Saccharomyces cerevisiae S288C: one gene and its partners. The gene in region 3 interacts genetically with the main gene of each other region. Each region holds a gene or a part of one and is shown on either strand. Other genes may lie near its edges. The genes, in order: HSP30, NRG1, LIN1 and PRP3.

Region 1 (5,239 bases), on a different chromosome or scaffold from region 3:
TAGAGGTCGGTGATTTTATTAAGAAGAATATATTTGGTATACAGCCGAAAAGAAGACCCTGGCAAAAGCGCATTCAGGATGATTCGGAAAACATTCACCACCGTAATGAGAATGTGAACAGCATTCGAGGACAAGATAGTGAAGAGGATGAAAATAGTCCCCTAGTGAATACTACCAATGACGATGATACTGAAAGCATACAATCGATTGATCCTATTTTAACAAGAAGACAGTCTGTAGGCCTGATTAGGACATATTCTCTGCATGAACCAACAGACGCTGTGCATGCCAATATAGATACAGCTCCAGACGGTTGTAAAGAAAGTAGTATATTTCATCACGTTTTTCATACAAAAGTATTTTACCCTATATCGGTGAATTTTATTATGGCTTTACATTTGATTGTATACAACGAATTTTTGCCTGTTTTTTTAGCTTATGATTTAGCCGTAGATCCAGAAAATCCAAAGAAGCTGGCTTCAAAATTTCCGTGGAAAATATCTGGCGGTATAGGTTATGAACCAGAACAAACCGGTACTCTTTTGTCGACAACAGGTATCTTTGGTTGTTTTGTGGTTATTTTCATTTTTCCCATAGTTGATCGAAATTTCGATTGTTTAACAATTTTCAGAACTTTAGTCAAGCTGTACCCTATTATGTACGTTATGGTTCCTTACGTTGTTTTTCTACAGAATGAACGGATTCCTAGCTGGTATACTGTCGTCTACTTGTACATAATCACAGGGATAAAAACATTTTGTGGCGCTTTAACGTCACCACAAATTATGTTATTAATTCATAATTCGAGTCCCTTGAGTTGTAGATCAGTCATCAATGGCGCCACCATTAGTATTTCTGCCTCTGCTCGTTTCATAGGTCCCTTAGTATGGGGCTATATTATGTCTTGGTCCCAGCAAAATGACGTCGCCTGGGTCAGTTGGTGGTCGTTAAGTCTTTTTTGTATGGTAGCTCTTTATCAAAGTTATAAGATAGCACCAATTGATGATAACGAAAATGAGCTTCATGGACAGGGTAGTGAAGATGCCTACAATTCGCAGTCACAGTCTTCTGATTTAAGAATGGCTCATCGATCTAGTTTAAGCAGCTTAAGTAACCAACGCTGTACCACATGAGAAATTTTTTTTCAGAAGGCTTGCAAAAAGGATATCTAATAAAAAAAAAAATGAACTCCAGTAGATTTTAGATATCAACCATAACTGGCGAAAATTTGCACCTTTTTGATGAGAGCATGTTATGTCAAGGCATGGCCGCGTGATGGCATTGCACTCAAGATAGTTTCCGGAATTATTATACTCCTTATGTAAATTTCAATCCGTTTATGTAATTATATCCAGGAACTCAATTTGACCAGACAAGTAATGGCGCCCATTTTGAGCGAGAGAACCCATTTTTCTATACAAATTTCACTAGAGCACGGCCGTTACATTTAGTAATAGCCAATAAGGGTTTTTTATCGATTAGTGTTCCCTGCGCTCCTTAACATCATACAACCGAGTACTTGACATGGAGATAGTAGGCAAGTAAACCAAAGTCCTTTCTTCAAAAGTAGAAAACTTGAGCACTTATTTCCTGCGCATGTCATATGTTAATTTTCCTCAACTGCGCTGAATACGTCCTGTCAATTCAAATATATCACGTTGTGAGCAGCCCTGAAGAAGAAAACCTCAACAGCAGTATTACTATTACAATCAAACAACTTTAGTGCCGCGTGATACCGGGGGTTGAAGTGGGTGCATTGAGCCGTATTCTTCTTCCCCGTAAGAAAGTTGTGTATCCTTTTTACTGCGTTGTAATAGCTTCTGAAAACCTAAAAAATGAACGCTATGTAGCTCATATCCGTTTTGCATAAGTAAGAATAACTACTTGTGCAGGGTGCCGAAAGGGATGGAAAACCGCTGCAGCAACCCTTGTTACATACAGTCGGATCCATCTGACTTACTTTCCTTGCGTCTCCCTGCGCGATTTTGTTGGCCATTTTCCAGATCCTCTAGAATTTTTCAAGGGTCGAGCCGTAGGAGGATTCTCTCAGAAGGCAAAAACGCATCGAAAGCGTGCTTTGTAAGAATATTTGGTATGGCTAAAGTAAGCAAAGCCATATCCCGATCCCGATCCCGACTCTTATTCCGATCCCTTCCGCCACATCCTGCATGTTTATTCGAATACCAAATTAGCTCATCTTCGTTATTTCATCATCCCTTTCTGCTATGGCAAGGACAAGTTTTTTTCTAGCATCTCATCGAAAACTTTCCTCTCCCTAATTGGCCAAAGTTTTCATATTCATCATCAGTTAGAAAGTATAATATCAATCCCTTACCTCATTACAAGTTGTATCACACTAAAAAAATCATATATAAGTCTGTGAGAGTCTTCAATTATTTAGCGTAACACCTATTCACTTTCTAATCTTGTTTCTTGTTTTTACATTCTGCAATACAACACAACAACAAATATTAACTCAATTATTATTATTTATAATTACAAAAACAAAACAACAAGTTTGAGACTTTAATATCTTTTGATTACTAAAAACAACAAATTTCAAATGAACGATACGCTATCAAGCTTTTTAAATCGTAACGAGGCTTTAGGGCTTAATCCACCACATGGCCTGGATATGCACATTACCAAGAGAGGTTCGGATTGGTTATGGGCAGTGTTTGCAGTCTTTGGCTTTATATTGCTATGCTATGTTGTGATGTTCTTCATTGCGGAGAACAAGGGCTCCAGATTGACTAGATATGCCTTAGCTCCTGCATTTTTGATCACTTTCTTTGAATTTTTTGCTTTCTTCACTTATGCTTCTGATTTAGGTTGGACTGGTGTTCAAGCTGAATTTAACCACGTCAAGGTTAGCAAGTCTATCACAGGTGAAGTTCCCGGTATTAGACAAATCTTTTACTCGAAATATATTGCCTGGTTCTTGTCCTGGCCATGCCTTTTATTTTTAATCGAGTTAGCCGCTAGTACTACTGGTGAGAATGACGACATTTCCGCCTTGGATATGGTACATTCGCTGTTAATTCAAATCGTGGGTACCTTATTCTGGGTTGTTTCGCTATTAGTTGGTTCATTGATCAAGTCCACCTACAAGTGGGGTTATTACACCATTGGTGCTGTCGCTATGTTGGTTACCCAAGGTGTGATATGCCAACGTCAATTCTTCAATTTGAAAACTAGAGGGTTCAATGCACTTATGCTGTGTACCTGCATGGTAATCGTTTGGTTGTACTTTATCTGTTGGGGTCTAAGTGATGGTGGTAACCGTATTCAACCAGACGGTGAGGCTATCTTTTATGGTGTTTTGGATTTATGTGTATTTGCCATTTATCCATGTTACTTGCTAATTGCAGTCAGCCGTGATGGCAAATTGCCAAGGCTATCTTTGACAGGAGGATTCTCTCATCACCATGCTACGGACGATGTGGAAGATGCGGCTCCTGAAACAAAAGAAGCTGTTCCAGAGAGCCCAAGAGCATCTGGAGAGACTGCAATCCACGAACCCGAACCTGAAGCAGAGCAAGCTGTCGAAGATACTGCTTAGAGCAGCTTGAGATTGTCTTAATCATTCTTTGCTTAACACATTTCAAAACATCAGTTTTCTTCTTTTAATGTCACTAATGAAACTTAATATTTAATAATCTAATTTTAATTTCTTTATGAAATATGCAAAATAAATTATATACACAAACACAATAATTAATAATCTAATCTCATTTTTCCAAAATCAAGAAATGTTCTTACTGCTTCCATGCCTGAATAGTCTAATCGATAGTAGGCCATTTCAATTCTTTTTAGTTATATGGAGACGCAAACACCACTTTATTTTAGCGTACCCTACCAAAATTAAACGATAATATGGTATTTTTATTCTCATTTGTTACACTCTATTCTGTATCACTGGATACATTCGCGGTAACTTGTTTTATAAAGTGAGATGGGATTTATGACCATTAGATGCATATAAAAGCTTCCAAATAATAATAAGATATTGTGACTTTTGGTGAACTAGATACGCTTTGAAATTCTTCATTTGTAATGAAGCAGGATTCACATTCAATATTTTGTAGCTTACAATTGTGAATGTTGCGTTTTCCTACTTTTTCCTTTCATTTTTCAAAGCATCGAGCATTTTTTTCATTTCTTCCAAACTCATCCTTTGCCTTTCAGGATTGATAATACTATTGTGTCTTTCCGTACTTTCTACCAAGTTCAATAACTCGCATATGTTTTCTCTTTGAGATAATAACTGAAATGCTGTTAAATTTTTCAGCGTTACATTGTTGTAAGCTCTTTCAGGATTCATTGAGCTGATTGTGTTGTTCTGTGACATACGATATACTGATACTCTGTTCTAAATAACACAATCCTTTCGTTCTATCATAAAATTCAATGTTATAGGCTCATTTTGTGCATCTTATGTGGCGGATTAATTTTTTTTTTTTCAAAAAATATCTCGCGAAGTGCATGAGTTCTGACTATTTTTTAAATGCGATGATATCATTGATAGGGTGAAGATAGTCTTCAACAAACTTAGTAAGGGGCACCAAAGCGTCATGGACATCTTGAAACTGTCAGATTTTATTGGAAATACTTTAATAGTTTCCCTTACAGAAGATCGTATTTTAGTTGGAAGCTTGGTTGCTGTAGATGCCCAAATGAATTTGCTATTAGATCATGTTGAGGAACGTATGGGCTCCAGTAGTAGAATGATGGGCCTAGTCAGCGTCCCTAGGCGTTCCGTTAAGACCATAATGATTGATAAGCCTGTTCTGCAGGAGCTTACTGCGAATAAAGTTGAATTGATGGCTAATATTGTTTAGCGCATATGGTTCTAATAGTTTCCATAGTAACAATTGCTTGGCAAAAAAGGTCTGGCTTCGAAAGATATATAAACGAATATGAACTGGACTGAACTTAGATATTTTTTTCTGTATTAACTAAAATTTAGCGCAAATAATAACAATATCAACAATATCTGCAAGGAAGAACAATGAGCTGTACCACTGATAAGTTAATACAAAAGTACGACGCCCTTGTTAGGAAAACCACAGAACATAAATTCGCTAAGGAACTATGTGCCGGAACATTGAAGGACCGTAGTTTGTACATCTATTTATCACAAGATCTGCAATTTTTTGAAACTAGCTTAAGGTTGATATGTAAGACGACTTCTTTAGCACCAACTACTCACGCTTTAATAACCTTAGCCAAAAAGATT
Region 2 (4,853 bases), on a different chromosome or scaffold from region 3:
TGCAGTCTTATGCTTTGTTCAAGCTGGAGCGTTATTGGTGGGAGAACCAGAAAAGGCGAAAGCGTAGCGTTCTTTGAAATTTGGCTTCTGTTCCTGCGACTCGTTTAAAAGTAGAAGGGCCCGCGGAGCCGCTGTGAAAGATTTCTTTTACTCTTTCAGCGCAGAAATCTCGCAGGAGCTCAGCAGAAAGTGCCTATGACGGTAATCCCAGGGGCTAATGGTGTGAAGGCACTTTCTAAACAATTGAAATTAAAATACCGTGCCTATAGTAACTTTTTTTTACGCTGTGAACCGTTCAACACACAGTAAAAACTCCGCAGGAAATGGTTTGAAGAATCTTAATCACGAATTAGGCGTATTGTTTTTCCCAACAGTGAACGAGAGGACAAACTCCAGAGGATTTGCGGGCTTGATGATAAAATGTATTGTTGAAAAGATCGCGAATGCAACAATTACGGTGGGGAGAAATATCAACAAAAGGGCAAGGCTATGCCTTCTGGAAAGTGGCAGACTTGCACTTTCCTCGAAAAGAAAAATGACCGCAAGATCCGGTTGTTCTCAACCTTCTACATTAAGACATACTTCTACGATTTTCGAATGCCGAAGCAACTATCGCTGAAATTTGTCATGTCAAAATTGCTACTGGGGGAGAAGAATATATATGGAAGTAATTATTATTTACGTTGCTGAAATGGCAGGTTAGACGCATGTTTTGCAAAATAAGTGGTTTTGAAAAGAATTGATACTAGGAATCGGTGCAATACCTTCTACCTTTCTTAATAGGTATTCTTGAATAATCTACCTCACTTTCTGTCCCAGATACGAGATGTCGAGCGCCTCGAAAATAGATATCGTTTATTACGTTAGATACGGAAAGGTCTACGTGTCATAATAAATTGCATCTGGATTGCGATTTTGGGTCATGCCTAACTGGGAAAATATTTACATCTCCATGTTCTCATTCTGCCTTTGCTTTCCTTCAAAACATGGTTTTCAATTCAACCTAGGGTCTACCGCGGAACCATATGTACGCCGTAAATGCGAGTGTTCTTGAAAGGTAGTAATGTGTTCCCTCTCAATATGTAAGTCCTTCAAGAGTATGCACTTGCAGTTGCACTGTTTCGGGTAATTATCCGTCATTAAGAAAAAGATGCTTCCACTTTCTCGTGTTTTTACGCACAATCGTGCCATTTAACCGGAAATAGACTCCATTGCATTGATTGCTCTCATAAAAATTATAGCCCGCGTTTGATACTTGTTTAAAATAGGTGTCGACAAAGTTAGTTTCTGTCTTCCATTTAGTTTTTACAATATGACACGTCAAATAAATCTTTTCGATTTAGTTAAAAGAGTTACCTGGCGATAGCCTTCTGGTAAAACACCTATTCATAAAACAATCTTAAAAAACCAAAAAATTACCAAACAACTATGTAGGACATATTTTTACAGTTCATAAAAACGCTTCGAGCTGCCGATATCGGTATCAAACACCAAAATATACATAGTGCTGGTTTAAGCCAGAATATCTTGGTGAAGCTGCGCCTATATGCCTTGTATTTAAAACAAGTCACGAAAAGCTATTGCCAAAGGAACATAAAAACTCGTATCTATGTTATATTATAAAAAAGATATAATATTTATATATTATTATTAATATTATTTTTTAGTTCCGAAAGGAGAAACTTATAATTTTTATATCATTATTTATTATTATTTTTAATTTCAACTCCTTTTATACCTATTACTGCATGTGGAGAAAAGATTAAACCAGGCGAGGCAATTTACACTTATTCATTGAGATAAGATGAAAGAGCCACGCCTCGTTACATTTAGGCTACATCATATAACAACTAGTCCCAGCCTCCCCCCTTCCCCACCTTGGAGTACTTTTCTCCAGAAATAGAAAGCTAAGAATCAAAATCGCACCATTACGTATGAGCTCATTTGCCGTCTTTTCCCCGACAATCCGGCACAAAATCTGGCTACCCGTCGTATGTATGGTAGACGATATTATGTACTCTAGTAATGCTATGTACGAATAGTTTCAGACGGGCACAGGGACCTAGAACGCCAAGCGCAAAAAAAAGCTGATAGGAATTCGACGTCACGAACCCTTGGAGTAAAAGAAAACTAAAATATACGAACTTCGCGGAAAATAAAAAACTTTTCCTTCAGTTGTTCCTCGTTCGAAACAGTAATCTACACGGACCGTTGCTTATTTTTAGCCAGATTCTAGTTAAATAAAAAAAAAAGAAATAAAATTAAAAAAAAATTAAACTGTGGCAGATAAGCCTTTCTAATCGAGGCAGTGTGTTTCTTTTGACTTCACCGTTTGTCTTCGCATAGTTCCCCTAAATATTCTAACTAGAAAAATCGCTAGTATTTTTCTACTTATAAGTTGATTTTCCGCATATTTGTCTTTGAAACGTTTGAGACAGGGAAAACTCTGTTTTCTAAAAGAGGAAAAAGCAAAATGAAGTATTGGCTTGGTTGCGGTCAACACCCTCAGGGAAAGCCAAGAAATGCTTTTTACTGTTTAGCAGTGAAAAGGCCGCACCGGAAAAGAAGGGAAAAATTCATTGGGTCTAGATTTTTCTTATCGGTAAAAGACTATGGCCTCTTGAGGACCCTTAAGCGTGAAACGAAACGCGTTGAGCGCGCAGAGGGGCTTCGCCGCCGGTCAGGGTGTTTGGGGTGTTTTTTCTTTTAATTATTCTCTTGGCAGTGTCATCTTTCTACAGTCTGGCTGCAGGCTCCTTTTCCGTTATTCATATATAAGGAAGAGAACTTTCCAAACCCAAATTAAAAAAAATTTGGTTCCCATCTCTTAACTAAAAGAAATTATATTACTCCACCTCGTTTACAGTTTTTTGATGCTATAAGGGAATTCTGCAGCTTTTGAAAGTAAAAATCATATCGTATACGATTCTGCAAAGTATTATTGTACTGTAATTCCTACCATTACGGCGCCTTTTTCTACCATTCACCTTTCTTGGATTGTTCCTCTCGACCAGCATATTACTACCCTTCGCAAACTTTCAGGCAATGTTTTACCCATATAACTATAGTAACCTCAATGTTTCTACTATGCCCGCACTGCCGGGAATCTCCGCATTTGATGGAATGCAAGATGAAGAAAACGTTGAAATAAGCCCGGAAAGAAAATATCAGACGCTACTACCAGTTCTAACTAATTCTCATGTGGTAGAGAATGAACTAAAACACAAATTAAATAAGACTGCTTTTGATTTCCGATACCAAACCAAATCAGAAAATGGCTCTGAAAAGTGGGAGCCAAAATACTTAATAACGCCTAATTTACAAACAAGAAGCGTCTCTTTTGACAATTCATCGGTACAATATAATTCAGATTCATCCGAAAAAAGCTCGCTATCACAACTAACTTGTAATTCATCAATAATACAACAGCCTGAGAACGGAATAGTTTCTAATGATGCATATAATAAGATGGCAAATAGTAGATACTCTCTGAAAACGCGGAAGCAAAGAACAGATCCAAGAAATACGTTATCAGATGAGGAAGACCTTGAACAAAGGCGCAAATACATTTGCAAAATTTGCGCAAGAGGATTCACTACATCGGGTCATTTAGCAAGGCATAATAGAATTCATACGGGCGAAAAAAATCATTGTTGTCCGTATAAGGGATGCACGCAGCGATTCAGTCGACATGATAATTGCTTGCAACACTATAGAACACATTTGAAAAAGGGACAATAATTGACGGTATACCCGTGTTTTTCTCATTAGCAGTACTACTATTCCGCACTTTACATCATTTTTTATAAACTCATGCATACATACATTGTACTTCAAAAGATTTTTTTTTTTTTTTGGCATCATAAATCACTTTCAGATCAGTTTCCTTTCAAACGCGCGGCATTAAGAAAACTTTTAATGTCAAAAAAACGGAAGCAAAAACCCCTCCCTTCCGCTTAAGATCATGTCTGGACATTTTAGTTGTAAGGCTGCGCCTCGGTAGCAAGTAGTGCTGCAACAAGGCTATTATGCCACCTAAACAGACCACTTTTGCTTAATACGAGACTGTGACTACCTCCTGACTTCCTGTCATAACAAAAAAACAGACGTCGCTGCATTAACATTTACAACCCCAAACCTTCTTCATTCATTGCTTTTCTTTTAGAAACTGTGGCTTTTTGACATTTGCAGTTTGCATAGTTACTTTTTGATCACTAACAACGATATATTATCGTTGAACAATTTACTACGCAAAACAGTTCACGTGATGTACGTCAGATAATTCACTGAAGGTACTACCTTTCGAGCATCTCTTACAGCAATGGTAACAGCTCATTGAAGAAGAAAAAAATAAGACAAATTTTTTTAGAGCTGCAAGCGTTTTACTAGGCATCAGAACTGTCTCCGAACAATAGTATAGTTAATTATTATACTTCAACCCTAGAAGAAATACCCGAAGATGTAAGGATGTTTTTGTTCCTATAAGCTTTTTTTTTTCACAAAATTTTCATCCACTCTACGTCTTCCATACGGTCATATAAAAGGTGCCATATCCTCGGCCAAGACAAAAGGCTTCAGCTCCATATCTTTTGAAATCATGTAAACGCATGGGGCTCAAGTACTGAGCAAAGTAGGAGAAAGGATATTGAACATGTTCAGAAGAACGTGGTATCTTTTTCCTTATTATACATTCTCTTGGCGAGTGATCGAAAATATATATGATGATATCCTATAACAACAACAACATGAATTTCTTCGTCCGAATCCTTTATAGGTGGAAACAAACTTTGACAATAGCTTTTTAACACTGATAATATATTTTCGCGTCATTCTTGCTGATTTTCTTTTTTCTT
Region 3 (5,154 bases):
AGGATGACAATGACAACTTCAAATTAGTTCTTCAGCAGCGTGTGACAAAAATAAAACAAGGTTATTATTTTGAGGTGGAAGAAGGTCCCATTATTGTGAAATTTCCGCTATGCCATCCCTTACTCCTTCGTGTGAGGTTCATAATTGCAGAATGTATCACCTCTCAAGGAGAGTCCCTCAAAAAATGTGACCTGGCAATACTATATGACTTCAACTATGTTGAATCTATTGATAAGTTGAATACCAAAGTTGAAAAACTATGGCTTTTTGAAAGAATACACCTCAACTGGGCATTGAGATATTGTAAACTTGAACATTCTGAAATTAACAGAAAGACGAGGGAATATCTAAAAAAATTCAACGATAGAGAAAAAATGAGTGATGTTATTAAATTGTGTGGATTCCTTGGTGTTTTACCAAAGGAAAGAATAGAAAACGATGAAAAGGCCGGCGATTTCATGCAACCTGTATATATCAATTATGATTTTCTGTCTCTTTCAAAAATTTTTACAAAATTGACCGTGTTTTATTTAAGCAGTGTCATCATTAAGACCATGAAAGTTTTACTGGCAATGGTAATGGTTATCTTCAAATGTTTTTCAAAAGTTAACAAAACTTTATACTATTGTCTTTTGATATCTGCGGTAACCAATTTGTTCTTTGTTGGTAAATCTATTCATTCATATTTCTCCGTAAAGTCAGCCGAAACCCTATTTCAGAACTATGCCAATGGTGATCAGCGAGGACTTCAAATCATGCATCGGTCTTTGACAGTGCCTGATTTGAACCTACTTACAAGAAAAATGATGGATAATGACCAGGAAAATCCAGTATTCAAGAGATTTGACGAAGACAAAAATGCATACCAGTACAAAGGAACAAGGCAAGAAATTGCAATTAAACGAAACCAAGTGCTGACGGAATTAAAAATTCTACAAAATACGGAAAAGGAACTCGTACAGGGAAGTTACAGAAAATTCATAATAACAGAAAGAGACAAATGCATCACCACTCAGAATGAAATCTTTGATTTATGGATAAACGATACCAAACTACAAGATTATTGTATGGCATGTTTTGCAGAGTACAACAGATTATCTGCCATTCCAGTCTGAATAGTGCCCCAGAATGTCTACTCTTCAATAATCAGAAGGACCCCGTCTTGTCTAATAGAATGGGTGAACTTTTTTTATTTCTTGGCTCATGATTATATTGTAAAATACATAGCATTTTATATAATTGTGGTGCTAACCCTAAGTACTTTTTTTTTTCGCCCTTTCCGGGTTTCTTTTTTTCACCTTTTCGTTTTTCTAGAATTTCGCAAAGTATATAAGAGACCATAAACAGTTGGAGAAAAATATCACAAATTTATCAGCCCAATTTATGGCAGCTTAAAAATGTCTAGGTCGATGCTTTCAACGATATCTTTATCAGGTGATTCTTACGCGCCAGGTGGATAGAGGAAATTTGCGACAGTAGGTTTACTGTCCTGGTTTCCTTGTACACTTGTGATACTCATTTTTTGTCTGCCAATAATATAGTCCTGTTTATTTGTTATATGATGATAACCTTCTCAGCTCACTCAGATCTTTTGATATGATTGATAAAAATTTCCTATCCAACATTCATCAATTTATCTGACCAAACAATAAACTTAGTACTATATAGTCTCGCAGGCAATTCTCTTGAATAATTTCAACTTTTATATCTTACATGAAACTTAAACACGATACATGTATCCAGTTTTCATCTCGATCTGGTTCGCTGTGAAATTTTACTATAACACTGTTTTTGAAGTAGGATTTTTGCCAATAAGACATTTCATAGTTCGTGTACAGGCCGTGATATTCATCTAATTTGTTCAACCACTTGAAGCCCCATAACTTTGTTTTATGGTTAACTATTCTGGAGGAGTCATCGAAAATTTCCTCTTCTATAGCATCCTGAACTTTTAAGCGGTTATATTCATATACTTCACTGAATCCCTTTTTTTCTAGTATATTGATCAAATCAGATAATAGCTCGATTCCGTGAATAACATATTTCAATGATTTGTTCTTTTTTGAAATGGCAATTTTTCGCAGCTTGTTTAACCTGCCCAAGGATTCCAGTACTGTTTCATTCTCATCAACAAGAAAAAATTTCAAAAGATTTAATGCTTCGTGGACCATATAATGTCTCGAATTCTGCGTTTTGACACTTTGTTCCTTTTCTAAGCGATTTACCTCCTCTGTATTTATGACATCATTCATCCATTCCTCATTATCTTGTTGATCATTTTCTGTGGCGTTTTCTGTCTTAATATAATTCCCATCTTTATCGAATACCCCATGTTTTATTTCGTCATCTATATTAAATGGCTCTATATTCACACCTTTTTCTACCTTGCTCTCTGAATTACCGATCTGATAATCTAAGTCGGCTAAGTTTTCTTTCTTGAACTCTGCAATATCCAAAAGCTGAATTTTCGATTTCTTTCGCTTTCTATGGTCTTCGACGTGATCTTCATTTTTTTCATAGGATTTTTCATCCATTTCTTTCCCACTATTTTCATTATCTGTAGAATCTTCAACGCTAGAATCAGAATCAGAATCATATTCTGCCCTGCTTAGCTCTTCATCTTCATATATCGTACTTTGATTATGTAACTCATCGCTAAGCTTTTCGTCGTGTTCACGTCGATCACTATTTCTTTTCAGTTTTGAGCTGTTCGGGTATTGCGTATATTTCATATCCTTCTACAAACAATATGGTGCACTTGAGTGTTTTTATCAAAGTTTTCCCTTGTTCTTTAAAAGGCAGCTTAGCATGGTCATTCCAATTTGTTCGGATGCGCTTCTTTTAATCTAGTCAGAGAAACTTACCCATTAAGTAATTAAAATCGATTATTAGGGCATAAATGGAAGAAAAGGAGACTATGTTGGTAGAATGTAAAGGAAGGGACCCTCATTCACAAACAAGGCAGGGACTTTTATGTTACTACTGAATGTTCATGGTGATGAGTGATAATGTCCTTTAGCTAATAGAGTAAGCCACACTTATTCAAAGGTCAATTTGGAGTAGGCTTACAAATGTAGTCTTTTCTTTCATAAACCAGTAGTGTTAAACTTTATGTTTCTTCAACTTTGACGCACAATATTTGGCGGCTATTTTCCGCTATACCAAATAAAATATATCTTTTGTATAAGAAAACAAACTGCTGAAGAAAAGAACATACAGCAACTTGGACAACATGTCCATCGAGGAGGAAGATACAAATAAGATCACATGTACGCAAGACTTTCTTCACCAATACTTTGTAACTGAAAGGGTTAGCATTCAATTTGGGTTAAATAACAAGACCGTAAAAAGGATAAATAAAGATGAATTTGATAAGGCAGTAAATTGTATCATGTCATGGACAAACTATCCTAAGCCTGGGTTAAAACGAACAGCTTCAACGTACCTCTTAAGCAATTCCTTTAAGAAATCTGCAACAGTATCTCTTCCGTTTATCTTAGGCGACCCAGTATGCATGCCGAAGAGGGTGGAAAGCAATAATAATGATACCTGTCTTCTGTATAGTGACACATTATATGACGATCCTTTAATACAGAGGAATGATCAAGCAGGAGATGAAATAGAGGATGAATTTAGCTTTACATTGCTACGAAGTGAAGTAAATGAAATCAGACCCATATCTTCGTCCAGCACCGCCCAAATACTGCAATCGGACTATTCTGCGCTGATGTATGAGAGACAGGCTTCAAATGGGAGCATATTTCAGTTTAGTAGTCCCTGAGATTTAGTTTGATATCGTTAGCATAAGCTATTTGTCACGTTACTATTTCTCTCCTTCATTTATTCTTCCATGATATATAAATTTTTGTCAAGAGTACAGTTATTATTATATTATATCATTATTATAATTGTTATGATTACTATTAATATTATTAATGTTTATTATCAATGTTTATTATTATTATTGTTATTACACATGAAAAGTGAAATTTCATTACGCATATTGTCTTTTATAGTAGATCGCTGTCAGCATCTTCATTAACTTGTTTGGTGTTATTTTCCAAATTCAATAATCTCTTTTTCAACTCTAACACTTCACTTTTCAAGTCATCTCTTTCTTGATTAGTGATGAAGAGTTCCGCTTTCAGATCATTTATTTTGATGTTGAATTGATTTTCTCTTATGCTGTTGCTATTTTTTACATTATTGGAACTCTCCTCGGTGCTTCTGAGACCATTTTCGAAATTTTCACTGCAGACGCCATTTTTGAACTTCAATTCATCTAACTCGTCGATTAACTTTTTATTCAAACTCTTGTACTTCTCTAGCTCTCTTTGTGAAACCATTAGTGCCTTACTTGCACTGTCCATAGAACTGATACTTTCTTTGTAATCATTCTGTATTTTTTTGATTTCATTCTCTTTTACTAATACATCTTGACTTAATGAGCTGTGTTCCATCTTTAAAGCATGGTATTCAGAAGATAGTTTTTCTTTAGATATTGTTAGCTCTTGACTTCTCTCCAGCAAATCGTCCAATCTATTCGTTAGTTTGTTAATCACTACACGGTGGTGACGACTTTGATCACCATAGGGTTCACCGACAGTTTTCTCGCCATTTTCATCCGATACAGATATCAAAGAAGAAGAAGATTCAAGAAACGAAGAGTTGGCTCTGTTTTCTTTCCAATGACTGATCAATGAGCCTAACTGTGACGAGTAATTCGCAACATTATTGATTATATCTTCGTTATGTTGTTTGCTTTCATTTTTCAACCTTTCATTTTCTCTACTCAAATTCTCATGTTCTATCTGTAGTTCTTCAAGTTTTTCTTTGTAATTAGGCTCTAGTTCTAAGGATTTAATTTTTTCGTTCTGAAATTGTATAACTTCATTTAGATTCTCTATGTCTAAGAATTTGCTATTCACCAACTCTTCTAGCTCATTAACTTTATCTTCCAAGGAATGATTATCTGCCTCTAGTATTTCACATTTTGATTGCAGTCTGACGGAATCCAATTCATCTATTTCTTTCGTTGTCCCAGAATTCTTCTGGGATTTTAACTGCCATAGCTCCGTCTCTAATTCCTTTATGTGAGCTCCGGCTTCAAGCGCCTTTTCGTGCGTCAATTCTTTCAAACTTTGCAATTCCGAT
Region 4 (5,849 bases), on a different chromosome or scaffold from region 3:
CTGCAGATTATACAATGGAGGAATATTATGACGACGAAAGTGGCTTTACCTCGGACAACAATGCCGACTACTTCTCCGGGAATAGCTATTCGAGTAGGCGAGAGGGCAGTGCTAGTCCCGGCAGGTATTCTTCTCCACCTCCTGCCTCTAAAAGAAACATCAAAATAGGTAAGATGTTTAAGATTTCTGAAAATGGTAAAATTGTAAGGGAAGACTATCCTACTACACCCACCGATATCAATGACGCTCTTGTGATTAGTAGGGCGTATGCCAATTGGAGACAACTATGGATCAAGAAGAAAAATCAGATAGATCATCGATTAGAACAAAAGCGCGATTTCTTCAATTACCCAACAATACTGTTTCCTCCAAACAAAAAAAAGTCGTCTGAGGGCGCTACTCCCACAATAAAATTCAATCCTCCCATAGAAGACGGCTTTACGCCTTTGACTAAGTCTCAAAAGCGGAAAGAGCGTGTTTTGAGCGAAAAGGTTGGGTTCCCGAACACTCCTCGAACGATATTGTGCCACATCAGCGGCAGGAAACATACTTGGGTAGCACTAGATTGGGCGCTACGAACTTTGATTCAAAATACAGACCACATTGTTGTGTTGGCAAACCTGCCCCGCCTGACTAAGAATAATTTCGAAGACAATGATTCGATGAGTGAGCGAAAAAGAATGCTAATGATGATGGATGATAGCAGGAGTGTTAGCTCAGCAAGAAGATCACGATCCAGATCGAGATCACGATCCATATGTACAAGAAGGGCACTTTCTCTGGGGCCTGAGGAATCTGACAACAAATTAAAGCACCAAAATTTTATCGAGTGGACATCTGGTTATACGCAGAACGAAATAGAACGTAAATTGCAAGATCTTTTTGATTATGTTACACTCATAATTCCGCAAGATCGTTCTGTCAAGGTCACTGTCGAGATCCTAATTGGCAAGACTAAAAAAACGCTTCTTGAGGCAATAAACATCTATTTACCTGATTTCTTTGTATCTAGCACTTTGAGGTGGGAGAGAACAGACAGCTTAGTTCGTTGGAAATCGAACTTTCTGACAGATAAACTGTGTACTAATTTTCCGATTCCAACGTTTATTGTACCGGCAAAGAGAATGTTCGATTTGGAAATAGATTTGCAAAAAGAGTTTAAAGAACCGGAGGTAACGAAACAAAAAAATACTAGCGGTCCAAAGCCTGGGTTCAGCCATTCTAAATCAGCAGATGCTAGCATTCCAACTATCTCAAATATCAAACGGAAGCAAGATAACGATTATTCTATAGATTCACTATGTTATGCCCCAGAAGCTAATGGTGCTAACAATAGTAGCCGAGAGGAAGCATCTGATGATGAGCTTAACGCTTTTAAGGATGATGAGAATGATGTGATGTCCGTGAAATCCTTAACCTCTAACATTTCGGTAAAGGAAAAGTTATGTACCATGGCAAGGAAACGTAGAAAGAGTATGGCTCAGCAGTTAAATGACGCCGATCATGATTCATCAATACCACCGGGACAGAGGCATTTGAAAAAACTGAATATTATTTTGGAATCTTCATTAAAGTTTTCATTAGAAATCGATAGCATCACTGATAGTATTGAAAATGGGGATGTAGACGAAAAGAGAGCACACTCTATGGAGTCGGGCTTTGAAGAACTGAAAAGAGTCATCACAGGTGGTGCTCCTCCAAGGCATGTGGCTACCCCGCAGAGGTCCATGCTTGATGTTTTGGACAATCCAAGTTCATCTAGATCCAAATCCAAGTCAAGATCAAGCTCTAAGTCAAGGATAAGAGACAAATCAAAACCAAGCTCTCCTACTGCTACCGATATAAACTCAAGTGCGAGTGCGTCGAGATCACGTTCTCCGCAAATCAAGTTCGCGTCGAGTGTCAAGAATGTAGATGGTAATGCTGCACTGGGTGCTATTAAATCTAGGCACTCGCTAGACAGCCCAGGGGACCAGCAACAACAACATCATCATCACCATCATCGTGACACAGATCAGTTGTCCGTTCCAGGCCTTCCCCATTTGGCACCTTCAAAGTCATATAGTGTGAGTTCTGGTAATAAGGATTCATCTTTGAGGAAAGTCAGTAGCTCATCTTCGCTCAGAAAAGTAAAATCTAATGATTCGAACTCTGGTAAACGTATTAAAAAACCGGTCGTAACTTCAGCACACTTGAAACCAAGCTCAGGCGGTGGTGGTTTATTCTCTTTTTTTAAGAGTAAATCGAGATCCCCGTCATCTTTCAGAAAGGAAGATGAGAGTAAAAATACGCCTAAGCGTGGCGGATTGTTTGGGTTCGGAAGGCTGTAGTTGGTCTTACGTTCTTATGTGTTTATTCGATATAATTCTATAACATTTTTATGACTTTGTGCCTTTATGCATAACATGTATTGTACATATTAATCGACAAAAATGACATTCAATACCCTACACTAGTAATTAATAATGCTGCAATTCCATCATCGCATTCTCACCTAAAAGAAATGTGGACAGTGTTCATTATAAGCTGGGTTCCTATTCGTATTTCCGGCAATAATGCGTGCTAAGTGAGTTTGTAAAATCGTTAAAATGAGAATCAATGTACAAGGTTAGTATCACGTCAATTCTTTCAAAGCTTTATATTATTAGGTATACCTCCTTTGAAAGTAGCACCAGTCAAGATAATGGATCTTTATCCATAGTTATTGCAATTACTTTCAAAGCAATGCGGTTGTTATTGTTGCAAAAATATTGCAATATTAACTTCTTAGGAATGGTGAATTGAATTGTGTCGTAACATACGCTGTAACCCTTGTCTTTTGGGTTTAGAATGCGGAAATGAAAAACGTATAGAACATGATGAATCTACGAAGTGCAAGGTCCACGAAACAAGACAGTATCGTTGCAATTCAGTGAAATCCTTAAAATGGTTCAAATATAGATACTGGCTATCTTTTTCATTATATTGGCTTCTTTGACCTGTCACAATTATAGGGTTCAACAGTTATCTTTGGAGGAAGAAGCTGCTCATTGATGAGAAACAGGATTTATGGAAGAGAAGTCACATTCGTGAAAGGCACATTCATCAAGAAATTTTATTTTTTCTTTTGTGCTTCCCAAATTTACTGCCATACTACTCCATTTTTTGACAGCTTATTCATTTAAGAATACGACCTAACAATAGTATTCCGGAACTTTTTAACAATATCAATGACGACTAAGAGAAAATGACAACTGCAGGGAACAGATTTTAGATTTGAAAAAGCCATGACATGATACTACTATGTTCTAGATGTGTTTTATCTCCTTTTCGGTAGCATTTTTTTGGTAATTATCTAGTACGAGAGGTGACAAAATCTGTTGTTCTCCTTTAGGTTGTCGTAGTCAACTTTTTTTGTAGGAAAATTCTTGCAAGTACCCTGAAGTTATGTATGATGCAAGTCTATTGATTGTAATCAATAAGTTTTTCTAGCTCTGGCTTGCTATGTAACGTAGTGAACAATCAATGTTATCGAAAAAGTTTAGGTAAAATTCTCGAAAATGAATGCTGATAATTACTTTTTCTTCACTCCCCAATTTTGGATAATACTTGGCAGCTATATTCGCGAAACAGGAAGGTTAAAAACTGCTTCTCCAATGAAACAGTAGTTAACATATCCATTTAGCTAGAGATACTGCTTTTGGCCTCTGGACAGGCACTGTGAATTGTTCTTATATGTTCTAAAGTAAAGAGCCATGACTCAAAGAAAGTTTCTTGACTATGTTAATTTTTTTAGCATACAAATTTTAATATTATTCACATCTGCGTTTTTCTGACTGGATCCCGCACTGATCAATAACAAGAAATAGTCCTAGTAAAGTATTAGAATGCCAGATGACGTAAAACAATCAAAAAGACTCACAGAAAACATCAGGCGATCTATTGAATTGGCTTGAAAAAATGCCCCCAAGAAATACCTATGAAAAAGGTAATCCGAAACGCCAAAATAGTCCATATTATAAGCCAAGTTTCTTACGGCGTGAAGAAACTACCAATGATGAGGAGAAGTTTCAGGGCCATGGTCTGAAAACCGAACTTCACTCAGCGTTAAAGTCTTCAAATTTGAATCTTATCCGAAGAACTTATCAAACTGGTGAAAATCCCTATCTTAGTGATCCACACGATCGAGGCTCATCGAGCAGATTTAACAGGCGTTATGAACGGGGTCTGAAGTTTTACCAAAAGGGAGAAATCAGTAAAAGAATTGCCCAAGAAAGAACATTACAAAAACAGCAGGAGGAGGAAGAATTAAAAAGAAAGTTAAAACAAGAAGAAGACGAGAAAGATAAAAGAAAATTAATTGAGTCAGGTGATTTACCCAATTTAGAGTTACATGAGGATAAGTTCCTATTAGATTTGTCAAAGTTCAAGATATACTATGATAATAATCATGGCTATGAATGGTGGGACACGGCTTATTTAGATGAAAAGGGTGAGTTGATGGAAAAATATGACATGAATGGCACATCGCCTGCCGAAGAAAAGCTAGCAGAAGATATTGATGAAGTAGACGATGATGATGATGATGAGCACCCATCTATAAGATATGTAGCACATCCCTTACCTGAAAAGATCAACGAGGCAAAAGTATCAATCAAAGCATATCTAACGCAACATGAAAGGAAAAGATTAAGGAGAAATAGAAGGAAAATGGCAAGAGAAGCACGGGAGATAAAAATTAAGTTAGGACTATTACCTAAGCCTGAACCGAAAGTTAAACTAAGCAACATGATGAGTGTTTTCGAGAATGATCAAAACATAACGGACCCAACTGCCTGGGAAAAAGTAGTGAAAGACCAAGTGGACCTCAGGAAGAGAAAACATCTGGAAGAAAACGAAAGAAGACATGAAGATGCTATTAAAAGAAGGAAAGAAGCAGTCAATATGAACGTTGAAAAGCCGACAGTATACCATTGTAAGGTGTTCCAGTTCAAAAACTTACAGAACCCAAAAATAAGATTCAAGTTGAAAATGAATAGTAAAGAACTATCACTAAAGGGTTTATGCCTCCGTATACGTGATGACGGACCAGGAATAATTATAGTCGTGGGTAACGAAAAATCATGCAAATTTTATGAGAATTTGGTGATGAAGAGGATAAAATGGAATGAAGATTTTGAGTTGCACACAAACACTGGGGATATAAAAATGGACATGCATAATAATTCAATATCAAAAACTTGGGAAGGCTATTTACAAGATTGTAAATTCAAAGGCTGGTTTATGAAAGTATGCAATGATCAGGATTCTTTATTACGTACGCTGGGTCAGTTTGATTCAGAGCATTTTTATTCACCTGTTCAAACGTGATATCGGTGTCTACAAAATGATACGCTTTGTTTCATATTAAATATTATTTTACTGTATGTCGCCCAGAATAATGATTTTTTTAGCACAAAAACATTCCAAAATATAAAAAGAAAATGATTTTATATGATAGATGTACTTCAAGGAAATCGACAATTAAAAGAATCATTCTTCGTAATGAATATATGAGCATATGTCTATAAATCAACAGTAAATATACAAACTCTTTATCCTTTTCTTGGTTTTAGGTATTTACCGATGTTTTGAGATGATATCAGCCAAATCTCAAACCTTCCCTGTCAAGCACTTGCCTGTCAAATTGGATCAAATAAACGGTTCGTTGACTATGTCCGCCTTGGGGCATTCGATGTGCTGTCACGCCACATGGAAATCCAGCATTGAAAAGGAATCCTTTGATAATGCCGCAAACGAAGTACTCACAAGAAACGTTCTCACCTGGGATAAATTGGGTTAAAGTGGGGAAGTTATCTACTATCATATAT

The links.
Region 1: mutations in LIN1 (region 3) and HSP30 together harm fitness more than expected from each alone (negative genetic interaction), as found in Saccharomyces cerevisiae (2 studies listed by BioGRID).
Region 2: mutations in LIN1 (region 3) and NRG1 together harm fitness more than expected from each alone (negative genetic interaction), as found in Saccharomyces cerevisiae (2 studies listed by BioGRID).
Region 4: mutations in LIN1 (region 3) and PRP3 together harm fitness more than expected from each alone (negative genetic interaction), as found in Saccharomyces cerevisiae (2 studies listed by BioGRID).

What each region holds. Positions count from the first base shown.
Region 1 is NC_001135.5:154,432-159,670, reverse strand, and holds HSP30 (Hsp30p), read left to right. Parts: upstream 1-2,563; coding exon 2,564-3,562; downstream 3,563-5,239. Other genes in the region: YCR023C (uncharacterized protein), read left to right, coding at 1-1,133; YCR022C (uncharacterized protein), read left to right, coding at 1,906-2,250; HTL1 (Htl1p), read right to left, coding at 4,115-4,351; MAK31 (Mak31p), read left to right, coding at 4,575-4,841; PET18 (Pet18p), read left to right, coding at 5,012-5,239. UniProt on the Saccharomyces cerevisiae protein: Probably cooperates with other heat shock proteins in the translocation of polypeptides through membranes. It may counteract the altering effect of heat shock on the plasma membrane.
Region 2 is NC_001136.10:541,562-546,414, reverse strand, and holds NRG1 (transcriptional regulator NRG1), read left to right. Parts: upstream 1-3,045; coding exon 3,046-3,741; downstream 3,742-4,853. UniProt on the Saccharomyces cerevisiae protein: Transcriptional repressor involved in regulation of glucose repression. Binds to UAS-1 in the STA1 promoter.
Region 3 is NC_001140.6:409,675-414,828, forward strand, and holds LIN1 (U5 snRNP complex subunit LIN1), read right to left. Parts: upstream 2,733-5,154; coding exon 1,710-2,732; downstream 1-1,709. Other genes in the region: LAM1 (Lam1p), read left to right, coding at 1-1,115; REC104 (Rec104p), read left to right, coding at 3,233-3,781; KEL1 (Kel1p), read right to left, coding at 4,011-5,154.
Region 4 is NC_001136.10:1,403,945-1,409,793, reverse strand, and holds PRP3 (U4/U6-U5 snRNP complex subunit PRP3), read left to right. Parts: upstream 1-3,939; coding exon 3,940-5,349; downstream 5,350-5,849. Other genes in the region: JIP4 (Jip4p), read left to right, coding at 1-2,330; TRAPP subunit TRS31, read right to left, coding at 5,621-5,849.